Linked DNA regions of Arabidopsis thaliana. The protein of the gene in region 1 interacts with the protein of each later gene in a pairwise test. Each region holds a gene or a part of one and is shown in the gene's direction. Other genes may lie near its edges.

Region 1 (5,511 bases):
TCAAGATTGAAGCTTTGAGTTCTAATTTAGCTGGCTTATGCTCAGTAGATGTTGAAGTAGGTAGGATACAAGAAGACAGTTGTAAATTGAATACAAATTCATCAGAGACTAAGGTAAAGAGCAAGTTTTGTTATGGTGAAAAGGAAAAGGAAAGGTTCAGTAGAATACTAAGTTGTTATGTTGGATCATATAATTTCCATAACTTCACTACAAGAACAAAAGCAGATGATCCGACTGCGAATCGTCAAATCATCTCCTTCACTGCTAATACTGTGATTAATCTTGATGGGATTGACTTTATCAAGTGTGAAGTCTTAGGCAAAAGCTTTATGCTTCATCAGATTCGGAAGATGATGGGTCTTGCTGTTGCAATCATGCGGAATTGTGCTTCTGAATCACTTATCCAAAGTGCTTTCAGCAAGTAAGCTTCTCCTTTTTCTTTGGTTTTGAAGCTTTGCAATGTCTATAGTTTTGTTTGTTTTGATACTCAGTTCGGAAATTATGTAACCAGGGATGTGAATATAACTGTACCAATGGCGCCAGAAGTTGGACTTTATCTGGACGAATGCTTCTTCACGTCTTATAACAGAAACTTTGAAGACAGTCATGAAGAAGTGTCCATGGAAGCATACAAAGAAGAAGCTGAAGCATTCAAATTGAAGCATATCTATTCTCATATCGGCGCTACAGAGCGAAAATACGGAAATATGGCTCTTTGGTTACATTCCTTGAACTATAGAAACTATCCAGACCTAAACTTTGGCAGCTGTGGACAAAACACAGACCAAGTTCTTGTTCATAAGAAAATTGATGAAAGAGCAAGTCATAGTCTCTAAGCAAAATGATGGAAGCTTAGTTTGAAGATTTTGACATTGTTTTTGTTATTGTTGGTTAATCCCACCATTTTTGTAACTTTTTAATCAAATTAGTATATTTTTGTGTTGTAAGGTGACACTAATGAATTGATTTGTTATCCTCCAACGTCGTCGTCATATAAAAGATTTTCTTTATTTATGGAAGAGAGAAGAATCTTATTTGAACAAATGTTTATCGAATAAGAATCGGTAAAAAATGATTATAAGGAAGAAACGTGGAACCGAATCTACAGGCAGAGGGACGTGACGTTACATATGAGCAGAACCATATATAAAATCCCTAATCGCACGTCAACCTCTCCGAAGCATAAGGCCCATAACTTTTTCTATTTAATTTTCTTGTCATTTTTACTATTTTAATTGTTATTTAGGGTAAATAAAATGTCAGACTTCGATTGACCCAATGAGTTTTAGGGTGTGACTCCTATCTCCGTCTGCACTAATAAGTACTACTTTAACTTTCGCTTACCAATGCATGTCAATACTCAACAGTGACATATTTTTAATTTTCAGAGGTTTTTCAATGCCCAAAAACTTTGATATATAAAGATCGTACGAGTTTTAAATTCCTCACCTAAAAATTGTCAAGTATCATTAGTGTATAAAGTGCATAGATCGTGTTACAAATTCTTCACTTTCGCTCTTATTTTTTGAATACTCACTATATATATAACACTAAAATAAAAGTGAAAGAATCTAATATGCTAAACCGGTAAAGAAAAAAAGCAAGACAGTCCGATTTTTAGATATTATCGATGTTTTCATATAAATTAGACTTAAGAAATTTCAAAAATAAAATAATGATTGATTATGTTGGAAAGAAATAGATGTGACCATATTTCGACTGCTCGTAAGCATAAAAACTAAAGTAGGTGGGGTGCAATAATTACTTTTTAATTAATACAGTGAAAAAGTAATTAATACAGTATTAGTAGTATCAGAAAAATTACAAAGCAACATCACTCAAAACGCCTCGAAAATAAAAACAATAATTTGAAAGCAAATATATACACAATTATAAAGTTTAAAATTTTAAATTTCCTTATATCTATGTGGTATGTATTAAAACTCACAAAAAGAAAGAAAATGACAAATCCTCACGTCCGTTACTTTTAAATCCGTAGCAAAAATAAATAATTTAATTTTCTATCTCTATATCTCTCTGATTTAATCACAAATCTTATCTTGAATCGTTATCTTTCTCTTCTTTCCTTAAACCAAAACCCAAAAAAGAGAGACCAGACAAAAAAAAAAAAACTCCCCAACAAAAAAAAGATATCTGTCTCTACTAAAAGTCTCTCTATAGCGATGTCATCGGACAACGAATCGACACCGTCTCAAGCGACGGTAGAAATGATGGCGACTTCGCCGGCGAAGATTAAAGAGTATCCAGAACCATTGGCTTTACATGAAGTTGTCGTCAAGGATTCTTCTGTCTTCTGGGATACTCTCAGGCGGTTTCACTCAATTATGTCCACTAAGTTCATGTAACCATTATTCTTTCTCTTCTTCTTACTTAATAAATTTAGTTTTCGTCATTTCATCTATCTTATTTTATTATTTTTGTGTGATATAAACAAGGATTCCTGTGATTGGAGGAAAAGAACTAGATTTGCATGTTTTGTATGTGGAAGTCACGAGGAGGGGAGGTTACGAAAAGGTCAACACTTTTTGTTTTCTTTTTCAATACAGATATTTTTTTACTTTATGGTAATTTATTATCGTTTCTTATATGTTGTGTTGTTTTGAAAATGCATGTTGAATTGATAGGTAGTCGTAGAGAAAAAATGGAGGGAAGTTGGAGGAGTGTTTAGATTCTCTGCGACAACAACAAGTGCTTCGTTTGTCTTAAGGAAACATTATCTCAATCTTCTCTTCCATTACGAACAAGTTCATCTCTTCACTGCTCGTGGTCCTCTTCTTCATCCCATAGGTTTGTTTTTTTTTCTCAAACCTTCTTCAATTGATTACTTTTAAATATATATAGTATACATTTCATTATATTCTTCAATTATCATAGATTTGTTTCTGTTGAGAATCTTTAATTCAACCGTTTGATAAATGCTAATCAATGAATCATAAGATGGTTCCCATATTGTCTTTAATGCCCTAGGACTAGAAAGTTCAATTCGTTGTTACTCATTAACGATAGTCTGAAAGGCTTGAATCTATAATAAAATAATAAGAATAACTTTTCAATTATGTGAAGTCATGGGTTCAATCGTGGGACACATTCTTACTACAAACGTGGGAGTTCAACGATTGTATATACCCGAATTATTGTCATCATTTCTATCTATATGGTTATTGTAATTTTGTTTATGTCTTGGAACTATAAGTTATTTAGCGACGATTATTTATGTTACATATAAGATAATCAATTTTTGCAGCTACATTTCATGCAAATCCCTCAACGAGCAAAGAAATGGCGCTCGTCGAATATACTCCTCCGAGTATAAGATATCATAATACTCATCCTCCTTCTCAAGGTTCGTACGTATTATCAATATCTAGTATATACTTGTCTTTGTTCTATGCTTTATATCATCATTTTATGACAAAAAATGATTAAGGTCTTAGTTAATGATTATGTATATGTGAAACTTATATTTAGGGGCACAGTTTAATTTCGTATGATAATTGTCTAGTTAGCTTTATGTACTTATCATAAAAACCTTAGTGTTTATCGCAATACTTTTCAAATATAGTGTAGAATCATAATGGTCCCACTGTCATTATGTTTGATGCAAATCTATTTGGATTTTGTTGGATAATAAACCGATGACGTGGACCAGACCAGTAGCTATAAGATTTGGTTCACATAGAAATTTTTTATAAGATAATGTATCTAGGTTTGCTTATGATTATACATGTGATATTTAATACATGGCACAGGTTCGTCGAGTTTCACAGCCATAGGTACAATAGAAGGCAAATTCGATTGTGGTTATCTGGTAAAAGTTAAGTTGGGCTCAGAGATTCTTAACGGCGTTCTTTATCATTCGGCCCAGCCCGGCCCATCATCATCTCCAACCGCTGTTCTAAACAATGCCGTTGTACCTTATGTTGAAACTGGGAGGAGACGGCGTCGTTTAGGTAAAAGACGAAGAAGCAGACGCAGAGAAGATCCGAATTACCCGAAACCGAACCGGAGCGGTTACAATTTCTTCTTTGCTGAGAAACATTGCAAGCTCAAATCACTTTATCCCAACAAGGAGAGAGAGTTTACGAAACTTATCGGAGAATCGTGGAGCAATCTCTCTACCGAAGAACGAATGGTAACAAATTATCTTTTAAACCGTTACCGATTTAGTGATGAAATTAGATTTGTAGTAAATCGATAACTGAACCGAGTTTTGGTTATTGCTTGTAGGTTTATCAAGACATTGGATTGAAGGATAAGGAAAGGTATCAGAGGGAGTTGAATGAGTACAGAGAAACGTTGAGACTTAGGGATGGTGACATGACAAACGGCAAGGCTTTTTAGGTGATTTAGTTAAAACGGCAAGTCGTTTTGTTGTAGGTCGTTTCTCTCTTTTAAGATTGGACGCCTCGCCGTTTCTTTTATTTTCTAGCTTATTGTAGTTGTCCATGCTTGCTTAACTAGGCTCAGTGAGAGGCTAGACTTGCCAAACTTGAAGAGTCTTTATTTATTTAAGAATTTTAGATGTTCTAATGTATTAATCCTTTTTCGTAAACCTTTCCTGTTAAACAAGAGGTTTATGTTGCATGTTAAAAAAGAGGTTTAGGTTATATTAGCAATTTAGCATTCGATTCGTTGGTTAGTAACTAAGTAATATAAATACCACAAGAACAAGAAATACTAATGAAAACTTGGAATGTTCAAAGTCTCCTTATCTACTTATGCAACGTTAGACAAAGCTATCAAACAATGCCACGTCACCTCACAAAACATCTAGGGTAACCAATCACATGCAGATAACTCTCTCGCTTTATTTTCTCTTCAAATCTTATCAAAAATCCCATAATGTTTTCATTTCTTTACAAGTGATCAACAAAACACCCCAAAAAGTAAAGAAAATGGCCGCAATTACATCAGCTACCGTCACCATCCCTTCTTTCACCGGCCTAAAGCTCGCCGTCAGCTCAAAACCTAAGACATTATCCACCATCAGTAGATCCACTTCCGCCACCAGGGCGCCACCTAAGCTCGCTTTGAAGTCCTCTTTGAAGGATTTCGGTGTCATCGCAGTGGCAACAGCAGCTTCGATCGTTTTAGCTGGAAATGCGATGGCCATGGAGGTTCTTTTAGGATCCGACGACGGTTCCCTTGCTTTCGTACCATCTGAATTCACGGTGGCTAAAGGAGAGAAGATCGTGTTCAAGAACAACGCAGGGTTCCCACATAACGTGGTGTTCGACGAAGACGAGATCCCTAGTGGTGTGGACGCAAGCAAGATCTCGATGGATGAGACAGCGCTTCTAAATGGTGCAGGGGAGACTTACGAGGTTACTTTGACAGAGCCAGGCTCTTACGGTTTCTATTGTGCGCCGCACCAGGGTGCTGGTATGGTTGGGAAACTCACCGTCAAGTAAATTGTCTAGATATTCTCTTGTTCGTGTAGGAGCTTACATATTCATGATTTATAAATCTAATTTGGAAGAGAATGTTGGA
Region 2 (4,344 bases), on another chromosome or scaffold:
GATCATTAATTTCTTTATATATTGATATAAAAATCTAAACTAAGAATTATCATCGTACGAAAAGAATGGAGGGTGACAAACATAATAATTCTAAGACAATTTTTTCAATGCATAAAAAATAATCCTACGACAATGATTATATCAGAGGATATAGTTGAAGAGATATTTCAATATCTTCCAATAAAATCACTAGCTAGATTCAAAGTCTTGTAAAAAAATGGAGATCAATGATCAAATCAACCTACTTTTCCCACAAATGACTCGTTCGTACAGGTTTACCAACCCCTAATATGAAATATCTTCATGTTAGTCAACACTTTTCAGCGAATTTTGTTGAAGAAGATTCAACTCAATAACTTTTCTTTTGGAGACTTTTTCTAGAGATGACCATAACAACGGAAAAAACTGTCATTCTTCTTCTTGTTACTACACTTTTCCTGATGATCCAATCGACAAATGTCAAAATAAAACCATTCAAGTATTGGGATCTTGTGATGGATTGGTCTTGATTCAGATCCATGACGATTTTAGGCACATTTACTTGATCAATCCTTCGACTAAAGAACACATGAAACTTTCCAAAGTGGTGCGTCGTTGGTACGCACCTTGGTTACTTTCTTAGATTACATGACCGTGCATACATGATATTTGTTATTATTAGTTAAACTTATACATATCAACTTGATTACTTTTTTTAGCTTTGTAGTATCCGAAAAAACTTTTCATGCATGCTCCGTTAGACCTTTCGATCTGCGGTAATTTCCGTAACGTTCGCGTAGCCAGGTTGCAAATTAAATCGCAACCTCAGTATCTTGAAGGCAAATCAAACCTTGGATGGGTTTAGAAACATTTCAAAGTGGTGTTTCGTTGGTACACATCTCTTGTTGACCGGAAGACAAGAACAATGCTTCCTCCTCTTGACAAACAGAATGAAACAACGTTTCGGGTTTGTTTTGGTAGATTGGTAAAACATTGGTGACGAACAACACTCGAGGCTTTTTCATTGATCAACTCAAGTAAATTTCTCTGAATTCTACGGAGCAAATAAATGATGCACATTGCTTTGAGACGCATAGCCATTTCGCCAAGACTTTTAGAGGCATCGGTAACAGAATCTTCATTTGTAGATCATAAGGAAGTGTTTCAAAGCTTGAATTCTCCATTCTTGTTTTTTTGTTTGTTATGATATTTTGTGTTTTGAGACATAGAGACCTACTAAACACACATGTGATATTTATAAGAGATTCTCAAAAATTGGTTTGTTACCAACGTTGTGACTTGTTGAGTCGTAAAACGTGTACATGCATCTCTGATTTATATTTCCAAAAGAGAAATATTAGTTCCTCACATTAAAACTTACCATAATTATTGGCCAATTAAGATTCTTTATTTTCTACTTTCTCTCGTTTAAATTTATCTTTTAACACAAAAATAAAATAAAAATCATTAAGAATTAAAAATTCCAAAAAAAAATAGAAATAATCAATGCACCACAAGCACTCCAATTAAACGCAGGCGTTTTGATCATCACCGGAGGAGGTCAATTTCTGATTTCTTCCGGCGAGAAAACAAACGAAAGAGTGAAAAAAAGGCGACTTTTTTCTTGTCCCGGGTTATAAAGATGTCAGCTTTGTGTCCTGTCTGCAATCTCACGCTTCCTCTCTCCCTAATCCAAAGGTATCAATCCCTAATTTCAGCTTTGTGTCCCTTATTTCTATATGCTTCTTAGTTGCATTCTCTCGAGGTCTTGATGTGTTTGTCTGGTTATGGTGGATGGTTTGACTCAGCCATGTGAATTCCCACTTCGAAGACGATGAAATCAATCCACAAATCGAAACCGATCACCACTTGGCTCTGCAACTCGCTTCTGATGATCATTCTTCTGATGATCCTTCTTCGTCTTCCTCTGCTTCATCATCTGTAATACTTTCTTAAAACCCTTAAATCTTCTTTCCACTCCTGTGTTAGGTTCAGAAAAGAAAACCCAATTGATAAAACATTGTTTCATTTCTGCAGAACAACGTTGCCTCCTTGGTCCAGTTACAGACTAAGAGTCAATTCTATAGTGTAGGTCATGGTGGTTTGATTTGTTTGCTGAGGAACTGTCTGGAGTCAGAACTGAAATTGAAGTCGAAACCTTTAGAGTGTAGTACTAGTTTACTATCAGGCTTTGTTGATCATTTTCAATCTTCGAAGGAGGATAAAGGTTGGGGATGTGGATGGAAGAACATTCAAATGCAATGCTCTCATTTGCTTTCTCATAGAGAAGAAGCTAAGAGAGTTCTCTTTGGTGGTTCTAATTTTGTTCCTGATATTCCTTCGCTCCAGCGATGGCTTGAGTTAGCTTGGAACAAGGGGTTTGATGTTTCTGGAGCTCTTCATTTTGATAATCGAATATGTGGTTCCAAGAGATGGATTGGAACTACTGAATGTGCTGCGTTGTTACGTTCTTTCGGGTTGAAAGCGAGGATTGTTGATTTTGCTCCCGAGAAGTCTAAATCGATGTATCTTTCAGTTCCTGGTTCTGCTATTGCACCCAAGGTAAAGTCATATGGTCCCATGGACAGATATATGGTTAAAAAGGGGGGAAGTGGGAAGGGAAAAGCAGTTGACTCTCATAGTTCTAATTCTTCTAGGATCAGCAAAGGAGCGGTTTTAATGGAATGGGTTTGGAATTACTTCTCAGATAACAGGTTAAGTGTTTCATCCGGTGTTCATATTACGAATAAAGGGTAGGTTGTTTTGTTTCAGTTCTTGATCTCTGAAATGTCTTTTGTAACTTCAAAACACATTACGTCTAAGGTTCCTGAGTTGATGTTATCGTGTGTACTGCAGGCCCTTGTATTTCCAACATGAAGGGCACTCGAGGACAATTGTTGGGGTTCAGAGACGGTTGCAAGGAACTACATTTACTCCTCAGTACAATCTCCTAATTTTGGACCCGGCTGATGTGAGTATACATGAACATCAGCTTTTACTAAAGTTGAATGTGATTAATGATTGTGAGACTTGAATGTGAATGCAGTTTACTAGAGCTATAGAGATAGCGCTTATAGAGAAGAGAGGATGGGAGGGATATCTTAAAAGAGGAGCTCACACACTGAAATGCCCCGAGTATCAGGTCTCAGCTTTGAACTCTGATATCAATCATTTCTTTGTTATTTTGCATAAAGCTAAGTGATTTTGTCTGAGTGTGATTTGGGGAATATTGTGATGATATATACATACAGATGCTGTACGTTGATAATGGAATTGCTGATGGAGAGGAGTTGGAGAAGCTCAAAACCATTGATAGTCACTTTGTTGAATTCTAATGACTTCCATCAAAAATTGAAGAATGGTTCTTGAAGATTCTTAGATTAATTGCAATTTTTCAGGACTAGGAGTTAGACTACTATGACTTTCCAAGTTTCAACGAACGTATAAGATGTGGCTATTTATTAGAAACATTGAGAAAATACAGAATTTTAACCAGAGATAAGCATCTTTATCACCACACCTAAAAATAGAAATGTCTTTCCAAAAGCACTTAAAACTAGAGAGAACGAGTCATAAAGTAAAAAAAAAAAAAAAGAAGCTATAGAGCTTTTTTTCAATTCCTCCAAGTTTGGTGATCCCTTCTTCCTTCCTCTGGCAACAAAACCTTTTTCATGTGTGCCTCAAATGAACAACAAAACCTCACTGTTGTTCTTCCATGGACTCTGAAAATTGTGACATTTTAGAGGTTTTGTTGGTTATTTAAGAGGCAGATGCAGCCACCTTCTTCCTCACTATCCTTTTTCGCCGAGCCTTTGGAGGTGGAGAATCTGAAACTGAATCTTCTTGCTTCTTCCCGAGTAGCCCTGAGACAATTGCATTCTTTGAGATGAACCATTTTGAAGATGGCTTTGCTACTGCTTCCTCTGAGGGTCGGTTGTATGCTTTTGCCAGCAGATCATCTGACTGCGCCAGTGGGTCTGCCTCTACACCTAGCCATACTTGTCTTGACTTTTCCCCTAATTGCACATTCATAATCCTGTACCACATACATCCATCCATATTCATCAACGATCTTGATCCCCAGATTAAAGGTTTCCTAAGTCCTAAGACAGAGTTTTACAATACAATATCCAAACTGCCAACATGTCCTGTTTATGTATGACATGTACATATGTGGGAGAAAGAGAATACCTCAAGGCAGTGCCGAAGAAGAGTGCTACTCCTATGACGTCAAAGTGACTGCTCACTCCTCTTTCAAATCCACATAACAGCTGATATCTCAAGTTGGCATATATTCCAAGAAATGCACCATAACCAAGAGCATTTGTGCTGATAGATGGGACCGTCACAGATACTCTGTCAGAA
Region 3 (6,384 bases), about 22 Mb from region 1:
ATTTAATTTTATATATTTAATTGTACTAATATTAAATTTATTTGTTATTACATGTTTTTCAATAAAATTATTTGATTGGTTTTCTCATACTTAAAGATTTTTTCTGTAATCTTAACTCAAATTATGAGTGTATAGTAGTTATAGATTAGTTAATAGTTTGAATAATTTGCATATTGTTAATGACACATCATCACACAACAAAGTGACATATGTCATTCGATGTTTTTTAAATTAATAAAACTAATAAAATTAAATAAACAAATTAAATATATTATCAATCCTACTCTTAATTGATTTCTCCAAAATAAAAATAAAAAATAAAATTATGTAAACAAATTAAGTACTACTTTCATTATACTCTTTTTATTTATTAATTTTTTTTATCATCAATAATCATAACTAATTTTTTATTGTGTTGTACTTGTTTGCTACCTAACCTCTTATTTGTTTAGTAATTTAATTTTGAGTCTTTGATAACATTGACATTCAAATTTTTTCAAATAATAAACCTTCAAAATATTAGACCTACCAAATAATGTAATACACGATCATTTCTCTTATAGTGATATATACAATGACAAAAGATCTAAAAGTATTGACTTTAATGATACTTTAATTTTTGAATTCTTTTTATTCTTTTCATATGAATATTTTTGAAATCTTGTTCAGTTTATATCAATTCTATATATTTAATCATGAGCCTATAACAATATTGTTGGAGTATTATATCTGGAGAATAAATAAAACTATAAATAGTTTATTTATAATCAAGTTGAACAATTTTCAAATCATCCAAGACACAATCATTTCTCTAATATTGTTATATGCAATGACAAAAGATCCAAAAGTGTTGACTTCAATGACATCAATTTTTGCTATATTTTTATTTTTTTGTACGAATACTCTTAAGATCTTTTTCAGTTGATATCAATCCAAACTTTAATTATGAATCTATCACAATATTTTTGAAGTATACAAGGAATTGATTTATTTATAATCAAGTTAGAAAAATTTTAAACTACAAAAATAACATTGTTACACAGAATTGCATCAAAATATCATTATTGTTTTTATATGTATTTATGAAGTAAAAAAATATTAAAATCTTATAAATAATCAGCTTTATACACAAAAATATATAAATTAATATTTCAAGTAACAAATGAATCTAACCATAAAAATTGTAACTTCAAATTATGCATCTAATTTTATTAACAATACAAAAATAAACAAATAGTAAATATAAATTAACATAAAGAACAATCAAGTTCTAAATAAAGTAACGAAGGAGAGTTGCGGAACCGCTAGCAGCACTTGCCAACACTTTAACAATTTTCAAAATAAACCCACGCGTAACATGAGTACTCATCTAGTTATTAAAAAAACACAAACGAAAATCCTTGTAACGTAAATCCTTAAGCCTCGGGACCCATTTCACTATTTTAAGAGACTTATAAACAACCAGTAAATACTCGACACGTCATAAAAGTGCCACGTAATAAAGTAAAGTTTTTTTTTTTGTTTTTCTCTTCACCAGGTTTTTCAATTTTTTTTGTTTGTTCTCTTCTTTAATTTATTTTTCCGGTAACCGAATAAAAAACCTAAGCAAAAGAAATGAAGCAGCTTTATCATCTGTAATCGCCCATAAGATATAATTTGGATTTCTGATTTTCTTTCTTCCTCATTCCTCCTCCTCCTCCAAAAAAGAACCCATTTCATTTTCCCGCACTTTCTCACCCCAAACGATTCTCGCCCGGAAAATGAGGTGGGAAAGGGTCCGACAACTACAGCAACAAGTGGGTCTCGGTGAGTCTTCTTCCGGGCCCGGTAAGAGGTGGGGTCACACTTGTAACGCCATTAAAGGAGGTAGCTTTCTCTATGTTTTCGGTGGCTATGGCAGAGATAATTGCCAAACCAATCAAGTCCATGTTTTCGACGCTGGTTAGTTCTCTCTTTCCACATCGTCTCTGTTCTCAAAAAATGGCGGATTTGGGTTGATTCCCATTTCGGATTTCGATTCTAGACAATCATCTAAGTTTCCTACCTTTGTTCATCCATATTGCATGTCTGCTTTAGGATAAGAAATTACACTCTGATTTGTTTTTTGTTTGTCAGATTTTGGTATGAGAAACATCCCCATTTCTCTATATCCAATTTTGTATTTAAAGCTTTTTCCTTTAATGATTTTGGTTTGACTCTTTTGAGGAAGCTTTTGGTCCGTTGTGGTTTACTTGCTCTCTCACTGTGGTGATCCTTGTTGCAGCAAAGCAGATATGGACTCAGCCAATGATCAATGGCACACCTCCTCCTCCCAGGGACAGTCACAGCTGTACAACAGTCGGCGACAATCTTTTTGTGTTTGGTGGTACTGATGGAGTTAACCCTCTTAAGGATTTGTATATTCTAGATACTTGTAAGCTTTCTCTTTGTATATTTCAAGTTTTGAGTTCTCCCTATATGAAGAAGTCATTCCCACTTTGTTTGATTTTTTTTTGTGTGGTTATAGCTTCACATACTTGGAAATGTCCGAGTGTTAGGGGAGAGGGACCTGAGGCAAGAGAAGGTCATAGCGCCACACTGGTTGGTAAAAGGCTGTTTGTCTTTGGTGGCTGTGGGAAATCTTCTGGTATTAATGAAGAAATCTATTACAATGACGTTTACATATTTAATACAGGTAATGGTTGGTTACTCATGGCTCTCTTCAAATTGGCATGTGAATCTTTTCCATATTATCATCTTTTATTCATTGATAAGGGACCTTAGATAGATTCTAACTTAAAAACAAGTTGAAACCATATCCTTTCTTGCGTTAATGTTGAGTCTTTAAAATACTTTTGTACTAAATTTTCGAGGATGCAAGTAAGTTAATCGGCTTTATGCTTGTGTAGAAACTTTTGTGTGGAAACGGGCTGTTACAATTGGGAATCCTCCATCTGCGCGGGATAGCCATTCTTGCTCATCGTGGAAGAACAAACTTGTTGTTATAGGTGGCGAAGATGGACATGACTACTATCTGTCCGATGTTCATATCCTTGATACAGGTGAAAAAGCATCTTGAATTCATGTTCTTTTAACCTTTACGAGTGTTTGTCTTTTATCTGAAAGTTAATGTACGTTATTTTTTTTTGACTTTCAGATACACTTATATGGAAAGAGTTGAATACTTCAGGGCAGTTGTTGACACCTCGAGCTGGTCATGTTACTGTTTCACTTGGGAGGAACTTTTTTGTTTTTGGAGGGTTTACGGATGCTCAGAATCTTTACGATGATCTCTATGTGCTTGATGTCGGTATGTAACTGAATCATCATTTAATAGCCATATATAATACTTATGACTTATGTGGTAGATAGGCTTTGGTCCTAATTTCTTGTCCAAACAAAATCTGCTTGGTTAAAGGTTTTAAGATGAACCATTGTATCCAATTTCCATGAGAAGGAAACCTGTAAAAGGCTTTCTAAAGTGTATTAGTGTCATAATATTGGTTTCTTTGTAATTACGCATATTCTCATTGTTTTTTGTTTTGTTGTTGTTTGTACCTGTAGATACGTGTATATGGTCCAAGGTTCTCACCATGGGAGAAGGACCATCTGCTAGGTTCTCTTCTGCAGGGGCTTGTCTAGATCCTCACAAAGCTGGTTTTCTTGTCATTGTTGGTGGCTGCAATAAGAATCTCGAGGCGTTGGATGACATGTTCTACTTACAGACAGGTTGCGGCAAATCCCCTTTAATTCACCTATTGCCTATCTGATTCATAGGGACATCTGGACAGGGATTTTCTCACTCTAATCATTTTTGTTTCCGGTTAATAGGTCTTGGATACGATGCAAGATTTGATCAAAATGTAGGGATGTTGTCTCTAAAGAAGCAATTGAAGATAAAATGCCAAGAACAAAGTCATGCAAGTTCCTTGTACGATAAATCACTTGTCAGAATCAATATGGATCATCAAGGTGTGTTTAGGCAGACTCTGCGCTAGTCAATATTAGATTGAAACATACAAAGGTAGCATTTTTTCTGTAGCAGAAACTCACTAGTTTGTATATGCTTGATTTTATTGTAGGAAGAGGAAATTTTGGTTTGAACACTTGCCAATTTAATGAAGGAAAGATGATGTTTCAAGCCCGGATAACCGAGAGTTACCCGGTTGGTTACACTATGGAAACAATGATAGATGGAAAAGTGCTTCGTGGTGTTTTGTTTTCAAACAAGCGCAGCTCTATTCTGCCGGCAGATCAAAGCTTTAGTAGGTGAGTGGTTAAATTAATCTTCCTCTTTCCGGGGTTTTCAGTTGTGTGCATCGTTTTGTGAACAAGTGTATTTGTTGTATAGAAAGAGGCCAGCTATGTCGAACGGGGATCAGGACAATAGATCAAAGATATCAAGAACTTTGATCAAGGATCAAGCTAATGCTGTAGAATCCAAAGATTCTCAATTAAACGGTATGGAGGCTGGTATTGATACCATCAGCAACCCTCTGGGTGTTAACATAACCACAGTGGCAGTGGCACCACACGAAACAGAAACCTCTGTTGTTACTTCTGATGCCAAGAACCAAGATGCAAGTCAACTCGATATGGTGCGTTTTTAAAATCATATATCCTCAAGAACCTGTCTTTAGTCATTTCGTTTCTGAAAATGCCGATTATGCAATTTCTTGACCCTAAAATACTGAAAATCTTTGTGCAGGGCACTGTGAATACAGTGAATACAGCTCCATCATCAGTTCCTCAGGTTGATGAAGCGTCTTTAGAATCTAGAAATGCGATTACGATAGATGATAGGGCTAACAAGACCGGACTTGGAGAGTCATAGCTACAAAAACAAAGGTGGGCTAACGTCTTTAAAGTCCTTATGATCGAATCTTTAGGCTACACAAAAACAGAAGAAGCCATTGCATCTAAAACTAGTTGGGTCTAACTCTGTTCGTTTTGAGCATTTGATTTACAGATGAGAGATTCTCCGCTATGAACAGAGGAACAACAGCATGAACAACATCATTTCTTTTCCTGTACATTAGTCTGGAGATAGGGTGGGTTTTATTTAGAATCTAAGTTAGATTATCGTGGTCACTGGTGAGGATGATGAGAAGCTAGCTCTGAGTTAGGTTTTTTCTTTTCCTTCTTTTCTTATTCTCTGCAATTTTCTCCTTTTTTCGGGTTTAATTCAACTTCCAAGCAATGTTATGCTTCCTCCCTCATAGTTTTTATTTTTTTGCACAATGAACTAGCTTAAATGTCAGATAAAAATGGTTTATTCTAGAATGTGGAGTGATTCTTCTAAACTGGTTTTACCCTTTATCATGTTATGGTTTTCAATTTCAACTCTAGCCTTGTTTACTCTTTCTAGAGCTAGATTAGAATTTGGTCGATCATTCAGTAGGAAACATAAATTTTGGAGATAACGTAGAAGAAAAGTCAAACTAGTCCTAGTTGGCAATCCAACTACTAAAGGCTAAAGCATGTAGTTCCATATCCAACTAATTTCGTTGTTGATTAGCATAGCATGTGATTCTATCAACCTGTTTACATGAAAACAAAATTTCTAAATTTCATGTAACAACTACTTCGTTTTTCTTCTTTTTGCTCATGTAAAAACATAGAGAAGAAAACTTATTTTCATTTATTTTGATGGCCTCCTTTATTTCCCATTATATTTAATAGTGCTTGCAATGTATTTTAGAAAAAATGGGAAGAAATAAAAAGAAGGATAATTTGGAGAAAATCTAAACTAGAAGACAGAAGTCACATGCAGAGGGAGACATCTAAAGAAGTAATCACATCCTACTTCCTTCCCACATGGATTCATGATTTGAGAGAATGCGTCTGTATCTCCAATTCTCATGAACGATCTCTCTCATTTCTATTTTTATTATCCATATTACTTACTAAAGATAATCTAAAATCTTGGAGCTTTTAAGTCTTTAAGAGTGAGGAATTGGAACAAACAAACAATATTTACAAACCAACAAGTTCCTCCTTCTTATGTGGCTGTCTTTTTGTTTTGTTCTCTGAGCAGAACCAGGAGGAAACATTTTGCAGAGGTTCTTTATTCTTCTTCTTCTTTGCTTGGCGCTTTCTTTCTTTCCCTAAGGTTTTGAATGTACATTCTCTGATCAGTGATCTTCTTCTGGGAGATTAAGTTTTCAGACAAAAGAGCTTTTGTTCTGTAATAATGGAGCTTGTCTTATTCCTTTTGGGGTTAGTGGGGATTTGAGAATCTAGGTGTTGAAAATAGGGTTTAATAGATTCATATGTTTCTGCTAGCCTAGACTCTACCCAATTTACCACGTATAAGAAAAAAGCGAATTTTTCATTATGATAGGGATTTAAGCTATGTAATTTAGCTGGAGAGCAATGGGAAATGGCGTTCACATTGAGCTTTGT

What was found.
Region 2: the proteins of AT1G76110 (region 1) and AT5G24680 interact in a two-hybrid assay, tested with the Arabidopsis thaliana proteins (one large-scale study listed by BioGRID).
Region 3: the proteins of AT1G76110 (region 1) and AT1G18610 interact in a two-hybrid assay, tested with the Arabidopsis thaliana proteins (one large-scale study listed by BioGRID).

Annotation. Positions count from the first base shown.
Region 1 is NC_003070.9:28,554,138-28,559,648, reverse strand, and holds AT1G76110 (HMG (high mobility group) box protein with ARID/BRIGHT DNA-binding domain-containing protein), read left to right. Parts: upstream 1-2,033; 5' UTR 2,034-2,183; coding exon 2,184-2,362; intron 2,363-2,456; coding exon 2,457-2,535; intron 2,536-2,645; coding exon 2,646-2,808; intron 2,809-3,265; coding exon 3,266-3,364; intron 3,365-3,770; coding exon 3,771-4,153; intron 4,154-4,248; coding exon 4,249-4,362; 3' UTR 4,363-4,615; downstream 4,616-5,511. Other genes in the region: AT1G76120 (Pseudouridine synthase family protein), read left to right, coding at 1-421, 512-836; PETE1 (plastocyanin 1), read left to right, coding at 4,809-5,432. UniProt on the Arabidopsis thaliana protein: Binds preferentially DNA with A/T-rich content. Required for karyogamy during female gametophyte development, when the two polar nuclei fuse to form the diploid central cell nucleus.
Region 2 is NC_003076.8:8,452,045-8,456,388, forward strand, and holds AT5G24680 (Peptidase C78, ubiquitin fold modifier-specific peptidase 1/ 2), read left to right. Parts: upstream 1-1,530; 5' UTR 1,531-1,621; coding exon 1,622-1,677; intron 1,678-1,787; coding exon 1,788-1,920; intron 1,921-2,016; coding exon 2,017-2,732; intron 2,733-2,835; coding exon 2,836-2,950; intron 2,951-3,025; coding exon 3,026-3,121; intron 3,122-3,230; coding exon 3,231-3,314; 3' UTR 3,315-3,474; downstream 3,475-4,344. Other genes in the region: AT5G24690 (plant/protein, putative (DUF3411)), read right to left, coding at 3,739-4,015, 4,171-4,335.
Region 3 is NC_003070.9:6,404,019-6,410,402, forward strand, and holds AT1G18610 (Galactose oxidase/kelch repeat superfamily protein), read left to right. Parts: upstream 1-1,588; 5' UTR 1,589-1,760; coding exon 1,761-1,941; intron 1,942-2,263; coding exon 2,264-2,413; intron 2,414-2,506; coding exon 2,507-2,674; intron 2,675-2,888; coding exon 2,889-3,041; intron 3,042-3,136; coding exon 3,137-3,289; intron 3,290-3,543; coding exon 3,544-3,708; intron 3,709-3,810; coding exon 3,811-3,951; intron 3,952-4,061; coding exon 4,062-4,248; intron 4,249-4,330; coding exon 4,331-4,577; intron 4,578-4,687; coding exon 4,688-4,813; 3' UTR 4,814-4,827; exon of another isoform or gene 4,828-4,948; 3' UTR 4,949-5,514; downstream 5,515-6,384. Other genes in the region: TRM3 (LONGIFOLIA protein), read left to right, coding at 6,173-6,198.